2 linked regions of the Oryctolagus cuniculus genome follow. The protein of the gene in region 1 interacts with the protein of each later gene in a pairwise test. Links are inferred from orthologs where the notes say so. Each region holds a gene or a part of one and is shown on either strand. Other genes may lie near its edges.

Evidence for each region.
Region 2: the proteins of AP1B1 (region 1) and KIF13A interact in binary tests that used the Homo sapiens proteins (3 or more experiments, as listed by UniProt). The link is inferred for Oryctolagus cuniculus from reciprocal best matches to the Homo sapiens genes AP1B1 and KIF13A.

What each region holds. Positions count from the first base shown.
Region 1 is NC_091452.1:22,751,673-22,755,476, reverse strand, and holds part of AP1B1 (AP-1 complex subunit beta-1), read left to right. Parts: intron 1-234; coding exon 235-378; intron 379-3,804. UniProt on the Homo sapiens protein: Subunit of clathrin-associated adaptor protein complex 1 that plays a role in protein sorting in the late-Golgi/trans-Golgi network (TGN) and/or endosomes.
Region 2 is NC_091436.1:145,194,884-145,199,184, reverse strand, and holds the start of KIF13A (kinesin-like protein KIF13A), read left to right. Parts: upstream 1-1,492; 5' UTR 1,493-1,669; coding exon 1,670-1,724; intron 1,725-1,986; coding exon 1,987-2,077; intron 2,078-4,301. UniProt on the Homo sapiens protein: Plus end-directed microtubule-dependent motor protein involved in intracellular transport and regulating various processes such as mannose-6-phosphate receptor (M6PR) transport to the plasma membrane, endosomal sorting during melanosome biogenesis and cytokinesis.

The sequences.
Region 1 (3,804 bases):
TCCACAGAGATCACCCTCAAGGCTCCAGGCTTGCAAGGGATGGGGTGCTCAGCCTGTCTCCTCCGCCTCCCTTACCCTATCTTGTTTCTTTGCCACTCGGAGTTGATGTCAGGGCTGTCCTGTCCCCAGCCCCACTCCCACTGTTCTCTCAAGAGCCGAGTGGCTCTGCTTCTCCTGGGACTTTGATGCCACTCCTCTGGTATCTGCCTCTGACCCTTCACCCCTCCTTTCCAGATTGGGGGCACCAACTTTGCAGCACCCCCCACCGCAGCAGCACCAGCCAGTCTCGGAGCTCCCATTGGCAGTGGCCTGAGTGATCTCTTTGACCTGACCAGTGGCGTGGGCAGCCTCTCAGGATCCTACGTGGCCCCCAAAGCAGTAAGAACCTCAGCTCCTCATCCTGGGAGCACAGAGACGTTCTGGACACAGACACGGGGCTCCCTAAGCGATCTGTGTGTGGATTTGGCTCAGACCAGTGCTCACGCGGGAAGTGGGTGATGGGAGTCCAGGGGAAGAGGAACTAAGTCAGGTGTTGGGGAGGCAGGGCTCCAGGCCCAGGGCACAGCTTAGCGGGGAGACCCGGAGGTGAGGGAGAGCCCGCCTTGAGAGAGGGACCGAGTTGCCAGTGCCATCAGCCCCCATCCTGGCTGCATGGTCCATTCACACACAGAATCCAGAGTAATGCTGTGCTGTTCTCCATCAAGACAGCATGAAAGGAAGAGAACCCAGCTCGGATTTCTGTGTTAGCACTGGGGCTGCAGCAGCTGGGTGCGGTGCAGAGCGCAGTGCCAGTAGTTTGACGTGGTGACTGACCTGTCAGTGAAGTTCTGAGCAAGACCAAGAGCAGGCTGCCCAGGACTTACGCTCTGCAAGATTTCAGGGCGCCTTGAAACCTCACGGAAGGTGCTCCAAGAGTGCAGGACAGTGCTTGTTGTGAGGGCCATTGTGCCCATGACAAAACCCAGCCTCCCTGACTCTCTGTCCCACAACCTGGTGCCCCTCCCATCACACCTCCTGAAAATGCCCCACACATGCCCACTGTACTACAGAGGCAGCACCACACCTGGGAGTCCTGGCCAGACGGCAGGTTAGCGAGGTGAATGCCGGGACAGTGGCCGGGGCGAGGCTAGCGCATTTGCTCTTGACCCTGCGTTGCTGGGAGACTGTAAGCAGAGCACTGGAACAGTGCAGTTTGTACTTGGACCTGGCTGTGGCTCTGGGCGAGTGTGGAGCTGGCAGGAGACCGTGGAGGAATGGATGGGTGCTGCTGGTGGCCGGGACCAAGGAGGGTCTCTGGGGGTGGAGTGGAGGCTGGGCTTGAACTCCTGGGAGAGAGGAGCAGCAGGACGGGGGTGGGGGGCCGGTGCGTGGGGGCTTCTGGTTTTCTGGTTTGAGCGGTAGGTGAGAAAAGGTGCTGAGATGGGACACAGGGTGTTCCGGGGCTGAGGAAGGGCAGTTGAGTTTGGAGTGCGAGACCCTGTGGGCCTGGCATCAGTGTGGATCACATGAGCATCAGGGAATCTGCCAGAGAGGCGGGTTTGGCCAGATTCCCTCTCTCTTCTGAGGGCCCCTCCCCGGGAAGAACACTGCGTAGCTTCAGGGACACAAGGAGATACGTCACGACTGGAGAGCCGTGAGCCAGCACCTGGCCTGCTCTGCCCTGACCTCAGCCATGATGTGCTGGTGCCACCTGCAGTGGCGCCCTGCCGGGACCTGGGTCCTGAGAAGCCACGGCAGACAGCAGCTCGAATGCTAGCCGCCGGCTGCTGTGCCAGCCCTACGCTCCGTCCCACTGACTGCTCCCAGCAGCTTTAAGTGCTGCTACTCCGTCTCGTGGTTGAGAAACCGGAGTGCTTTTTGCCTGGGGTAACTGCTGGTGACAGCCTGGAACTGTGTGCAGGGTGGTGGCACAGTGTCTGCTCCGAACCCTGTGTGTCTGTGCCCGAAGTGTTTGAGAGCCACCCATGCACTCACCCGAATGCCAGCGTTGTCGGGCAGCAGGATCTGAGAGCACTGATGTTGAGCAGGGGTGGGGAGTGTACGGCCCGCGGGCTGTATGAGGCCTGGGAAACCACTTGGTCTGGCTTTGCCTAGGCAACCACAGGTGGGACTCGAAATTCAATAAATCTACAGCAGACTAATTTTTAGGTTGATCATCGTCTGTGGCCCCAAGTGATGCTGCAGGTATCCAGATGGCCCTTGGCAGAAAACATGTCCCCCACCCTGATTTAGAAGGTGTGCGTCTGTCTTTCTACACGGGATTGGTGCTACCAAGTCATGAGGCTGACCCAGGACTGTTAAAAACCCAGGATGAGTGACAGAACAGCAGAGACTCCTGCAGCCCTGTGGGTGCTGGCCATCAGCTTGTGTGTTGGTTTGAAGAGATGTCATCTCCAGTTTTTCTTAGTAGAGAGCCATGTGGGTGAAGCAGCAGTGAGCACTGGGAGTGAGGCGGGGGGTTGTGAGTCAGGAGTGATGAGTGCGGGCTGCCTGGAAGAGGAGCCCTCGCAACAACGGAAGAACCTTTCTGACCACCGCAGTCAGAGGTTCTAGCACGTGGGTGCGCTCACCCTCAGGAGCCGCAGGTGTCAGCCGTTTGTCCCTCTCCTCGGGTAAACTCATTCTCCACTCGCCCCAGGCAAGAGGGGTGCAGCTCTGTGTGACCAAGAACATTGAGTTCCTCGGGCATTTAGGTCAACACCGAGGCTGTGCGGTGAGAGTTCATTGGTTCATCCAACAAACAGAACCTGTCCTAGACTCTAGGAGCTTCCAGGTTCCCACCCACAGCCAACAGAATCAGGCACTTGTGGCTGAGGCAGGAGCAAGTCTGCCGCAGGAAAAAGGAGGCCTGGTGGGGGCAGGGCTGGGGGAGCGGGGCGGGGCAGCCAAGGTTGTAGCCTGCAGCTGGGAACTGACAGTGGGGACCCCCACCCCCACTGGTTTTTCAGGATTAGCCAAGTAAGGAGGGGTGGGAGGCATTTTCCCAGCAGAGGAGACAGTGGGTCTCAGGGGAGATGGAGGGACCAAGCCTGTGGCAGCCATTGCAGTGCTGGGAGGGGTTTCCAGGCACCGTGGTCACATTCACATTTTATGAGCTGACTGTGGCTGCTGTGGGCAGGGGAGAGAGGCTACAGATGGAGGAGGGCAGAATTGAGGCCCTCAGGGCAGGTACAGGAGCCACAGTTGACAGGACTTGGGCTGTGACTGCTGTATGTGGGTTGTTGGCGCCAGGTGCACTTTGGGAAGCTGTCAGGAGAGACCAAAGCCCTTTGACATTGCGGGGCGGGGAGTCATTGAAGGGAGAGCAAGGCCTGCAAGGCATCTGCATGTTCAGAGTGACCCAGTGCTGCCCTTTGTGGGCAGGGCTGTAATTTCTGCTGTTTGCCCTGCAAACACTCCTCAAACACTGGCTCCCACCAGGCTCCAGGCCATGGATGTCAGGACAGTGGCAGAGCCTACCCTCTGGGCCATCTGGGTGCAGGGTGCTGACCCAGAGGATCGTGACTGGGGCATGAACACGGGGAAGTGCCCGGAGACAGGCTTCCCAGAGGAGGAGGCCCTTGAGACTCGAGTGACAAGGGCAGCCAAGCAGCAGAGGGCCTGCCACACGAGGGCTCCTCCTAGGTACTGTCCTTGCTCTGACCAGTTTCTGCGATTCTGGGCCAGCCCTGCCCCCTGCACAGTACAGGCTGTGACAGCTGGGGTGCCGCCGGGCACTTCGCTCTGTCCTTGGCTTGTGCGGAGACTGGCAGGGCACACTGTCTGGTCGTCTCCTCAGCCCACTTCCCCCATATCCTTTTCTGA
Region 2 (4,301 bases), on another chromosome or scaffold:
AATAAGGTCACCTTCAGAGCTACTGGAGATTAGGACCTGAAGGTATGTTTTCAGGGACACAATTCAACCTTCTACATTTCCTATTGGTGGAAGCTGCCAGAACTACAGCTTAGCATGGTGATGTCATCTTGCTTGTGAAAAGGTCTTGGATGAAATGAACTTTTGGGTGCAGTGGGAGGCAATATTAGAAAGGGAAGGCCATGATCAAAAGATAACAGGTACTTTCCCGAGAAATCAGTCTGCAAGCTGGATGTAGGAGAGCCTCTACGAGGGCAGGTTGCAAGGTCAGTGAAAGGCGTTGTCTCAGCAGCCCAAAGGCTAGGAGGCTGGCACAGAACCGGACCGTTGACTCCTTCCGTTCAGAAATGGCCGAGATCCTGCAGCCAAGCACGCAGCACAGTGCCTGCGACACTGCAGGGAGCTCAGAATACGTGTAGAGTAGCTGCATGGACAAGGAAAGCTCGCAGGTGGCAATGGAGAAGAGGAAGGACACCTTAGGACCTCTGACGGTGGCCAGTTGGCTGTCCCTTTTAGAATCAGGCCACAGCTTGGCACCTGCTGGAGCCATACCGGCTCTCTCTCAGGCGCACCCCTCCCGTGACCCAGAGTCATGCTAGCTGGCCTCCCCAAGCCATTTGCCCACCTCAGCGTGTGCCCCCCGCGGCGCATTACGCATCCAGCTAGTGCGCCCTCCGCACAGCACCCTACTCACAGTAGGCCCGCAATACAATTCGCAGTAAAGGAACTCATGAACGCATAGATTTCCACACTCCAGCAAGATGGGAGAATCGCCAAGCTCTGGACTTGAGACTTCTAAAATGCCCGGCACACCGTGCGCGCCCCAGAAGCACTTGTTGAGCCAAACCGAGCCCCTGCGGTTGTCCCAGCTCCGGCCCGGCGGCGAGGTCTGCATTTGGCTAGCCGGACAGGCTCCGCCACCACTCATTCTTATGTAAGCGTTAAGGAGCCTCCCGACCCTCTGGCCCTCTCTGCCCGGTCAGGAGCGTCCGCACACGGGCGAGGGCGCGGCTGACACACACTCCCCCTCGGTCTCGGTTCGCCACAAAGCTCCTGAAACACCGCAGCCCGCTCCGGAGCGGCGGCCAGGGCGTCGTTCCCGCCGAGGGAGGCCTGGCCGCCCGTGCCCGGCCCCTCACGGCGCCTTCGGGCTCTGGCGCGCGGTGCCCGTGGCCCGCCGAAGGTGTCCGCAGGGTCCCCGCAGGCGCCCGCACCGCGGAAACCGCACGTCCAGCGCTCGGCACCCGGCGGCGCCTGAGCCCGCGCCCCGCCCGCCTGCGGTCCCCACCCGCCCCCCTAGCACCGCGGGGCGCGAAGATGGCGGCGCGGCGGCCGCGAGCGGCTGAGGCGCTGTGAGCCGGGCTGGGCCGGCGAGGCTAGAGCGGCGTCTGGGCCGGCGGCGCGGCCTCCTCCCCGCCCGCCGCCGCTGCCGCCGCCGCCGCCGCCGCCGCGCCCCGCCCCGCGCGCCCGCCCCTCCCCGGGCCGCGGCCGAGCCCCGCGTCGCGCTCCCCCGGGATGGCCCGCGCGCCTCGGCGCTGCCCAGCGGAGCTCTCGGCCGAGCGGCGGTGGCCGCGCTCCGGGCGCGCGCGGCGGCGGCGGCGGCGGCGGCGCGGCGCGTGAGGGCCGCCAGGGCCGAGCGGGCGCCGCCAACATGTCGGATACCAAGGTAAAAGTTGCCGTCCGCGTCCGGCCCATGAACCGACGAGGTAAGGAGCTTTCTGCTGGTTGTGATTTCTGCTCGGGCTGGGGGCCGGGGCAACTTTGGGAACTGCTCGGGCCGGCGGAGCCGGGGAGCCGGGGTTCCGGGCGGAGGCGGCGGTCGCCCGCCCGCCCTGGCCGCGGAGCCGGGGAGCCCGGGCGCCGTCTCCCGGCCCCGCCGCCTCCAGGACGGAGCCCCCGCGCGGCGCGGCGCGGCGGGCTGGGCGCGGATGCTCGAGTTTGCAGCGTCGGTTTCCCCTGTGCTTTCAGAACTGGAGCTGAACACCAAGTGCGTGGTGGAGATGGAAGGGAATCAGACAGTCCTGCACCCTCCTCCTGCCAACACCAAACAGGGAGAAAGGTACAGCGCGCACGGAGCGGGCGGGAGGGGGACCCAGGCTCTCCGGGTCCCGCAACTTTGAGCCGGGAAAACGGGAGTGCTCTTTCCCTATTGTTAGGGGGACGGCTTCAAGTTTGTCTCACGCTCCTCTTTGACGCGGCTGCAAGTCCAAGTTCTTCTCTTTCCTCTGTGCACCCCACCCCCTTTCCCGGTCCCCTCCCATCTGCAGCGGTGTCAGGCCAGGCCCCCAGGCCGCAGCCAGCGCTTGTCAGAGAGTGCGGGGGCCGGATGGGACCTGGAGACCTGCATTTTACAGTCAGGGAAACTGAGGCCCGGAGCCGGCAATGACCAGCCCAAGCCTATTGTACCTAGGAACCAGTGCACTACCGCATAGGTTTGCTTCCTTTAGCAGAGTTGTGTAGGGACGTTGCGTGGAAAATAGGTGGAAAAAGAAAGCCAAGCGTTCTTGGGTGATGCGAGCTCAGGCTGGGCCATTACCAGATCTGTTTTTTTGTTGTTGTTGTTCGTGGTGGTGCCGGGTGAAGATAATGCCTGAATGTAACGCGCAGATTCTGATTTTCAGGGAAACAAAAGTAGTGACCTGAACTGTATAGACACTGGGGATGTTTAAAAGGGAGTTGTATTTACTAGATGGCAACATATTTGCATTTGAAAAGTGGTAACTGTTGGATCTTTATAAATTCTGCTCTGTTGCATGCAACTGTATGGGAAAATGCCCTAAAATGATTTGAATATTTGGCATTTTTCTGGTGCGACCGTGAGAAGGAATGGGTTGGGATTCATTCAGTGCAGCAAGGCAGTAGCTTGTAAAAAATATGAAAGAAAAAGCATGAGATTTTACAAAATTCTTTCTCGAATGAGTTTGTTTCTGAAAGTCACCTGTTGATTGATGAGTTACACTTAGTGAATTTTGCTGTTCAGAGAATTTTTTTTTTCACTAGAGACTATGAAGTAGGGTTTGTTATTTTATTGCTAAAGATTGCAAGTGCCTCTGTTCTGTAATCATGCCTTCTGTCGCAATTGTGCTAAGTTGGAGGAAGAAAATAATGAGGAGGTAATATTGGAAATTCTTTGTTTTTTGTATTGGGTCTAGCAAGTTTTAATCCCATTTGCAAACATTCTGCTACTTCTAACAGATTCTTATGGTGATATTAAATAGCTTAATTATACTTAAAATGTTGCATTCAATACATTTTAGTAATTGTGTATCCTTGGACATTGGTTATGTTTAAAGCAATACAATTTCATGTTGGTAGCAAACTCATTGATTAAGTTACAATATTTACCAATTAAATTTGATGTCCACACTACCAAAGTTTGTTCCCCTCTCCCCTAGACTGGATATAGTTACATTGTTTCAGAAGAAAGTTCCATTGGGTGGGATTCTTCAAACCACTCTGGGAAACAGGTAGATGATTTTAATTCCTTTTATGTGGCTGCTGCTTCTGTTTTCCCTGCTGGTTTGGCACCTGCTCCTTGTCACTCTTAACCCTCAGGAGTGCCATTGTCAGTTACTACTTAATGAAATTAAATGTGGTCATTTGTGTAGAGGAATAGATTTTGTGGAATTTGGATGGAATGTATAGCTGTAGACAGTTGATTCCAAATGCTAAGTATAATTAGTTGATCATTTATTTGTAGTTTGTCACATTAATTACTACTCAGAATATGTAAAGACAAGACTTACAGGGTGATTTTGGTATTCATCCATTGCCTTGCTTACTGGGTAGTTTTAAGAACAGTGTTGAAGTATGCGTGTTCTCTTATTCTGTCCTGGCAGATCTGATTCTTCAAGTGGTGGATGGACCCTTTTTGTGGGGTTCACTCAGTGTACCGGCAGGTCATTCAGTTTACAGGGATCTCTACACAGCACTGCTACTTGTTGATTAAGGTCCCCAAATGCATTTTGATTTCCATTATGCAGTTTGGTTTCCTATTTCTCTACAGAGTTTTTCCTTAAAGCAACAGATCAGTTAAAAATAGAAACAGCTTGTCCCTTGGGCTTTGGGTTGATTATTTGCAAAAGTGTTTCATGCTATATTTACAGTTCTTCCTATCATTTGTTTCTGGGTACAGCCAGGGTGGGGTGAGGGTAAGCCAGGAGAATACTGAGGATGTTCTTATTTTTCAAACCAAAAAGTCCAAGATTTGACATGTAAGAAGTCTTTAAGTAAATGCATATTGGCAAGCCTGTGTCAAAATGACAATTACTATATTTCTATGC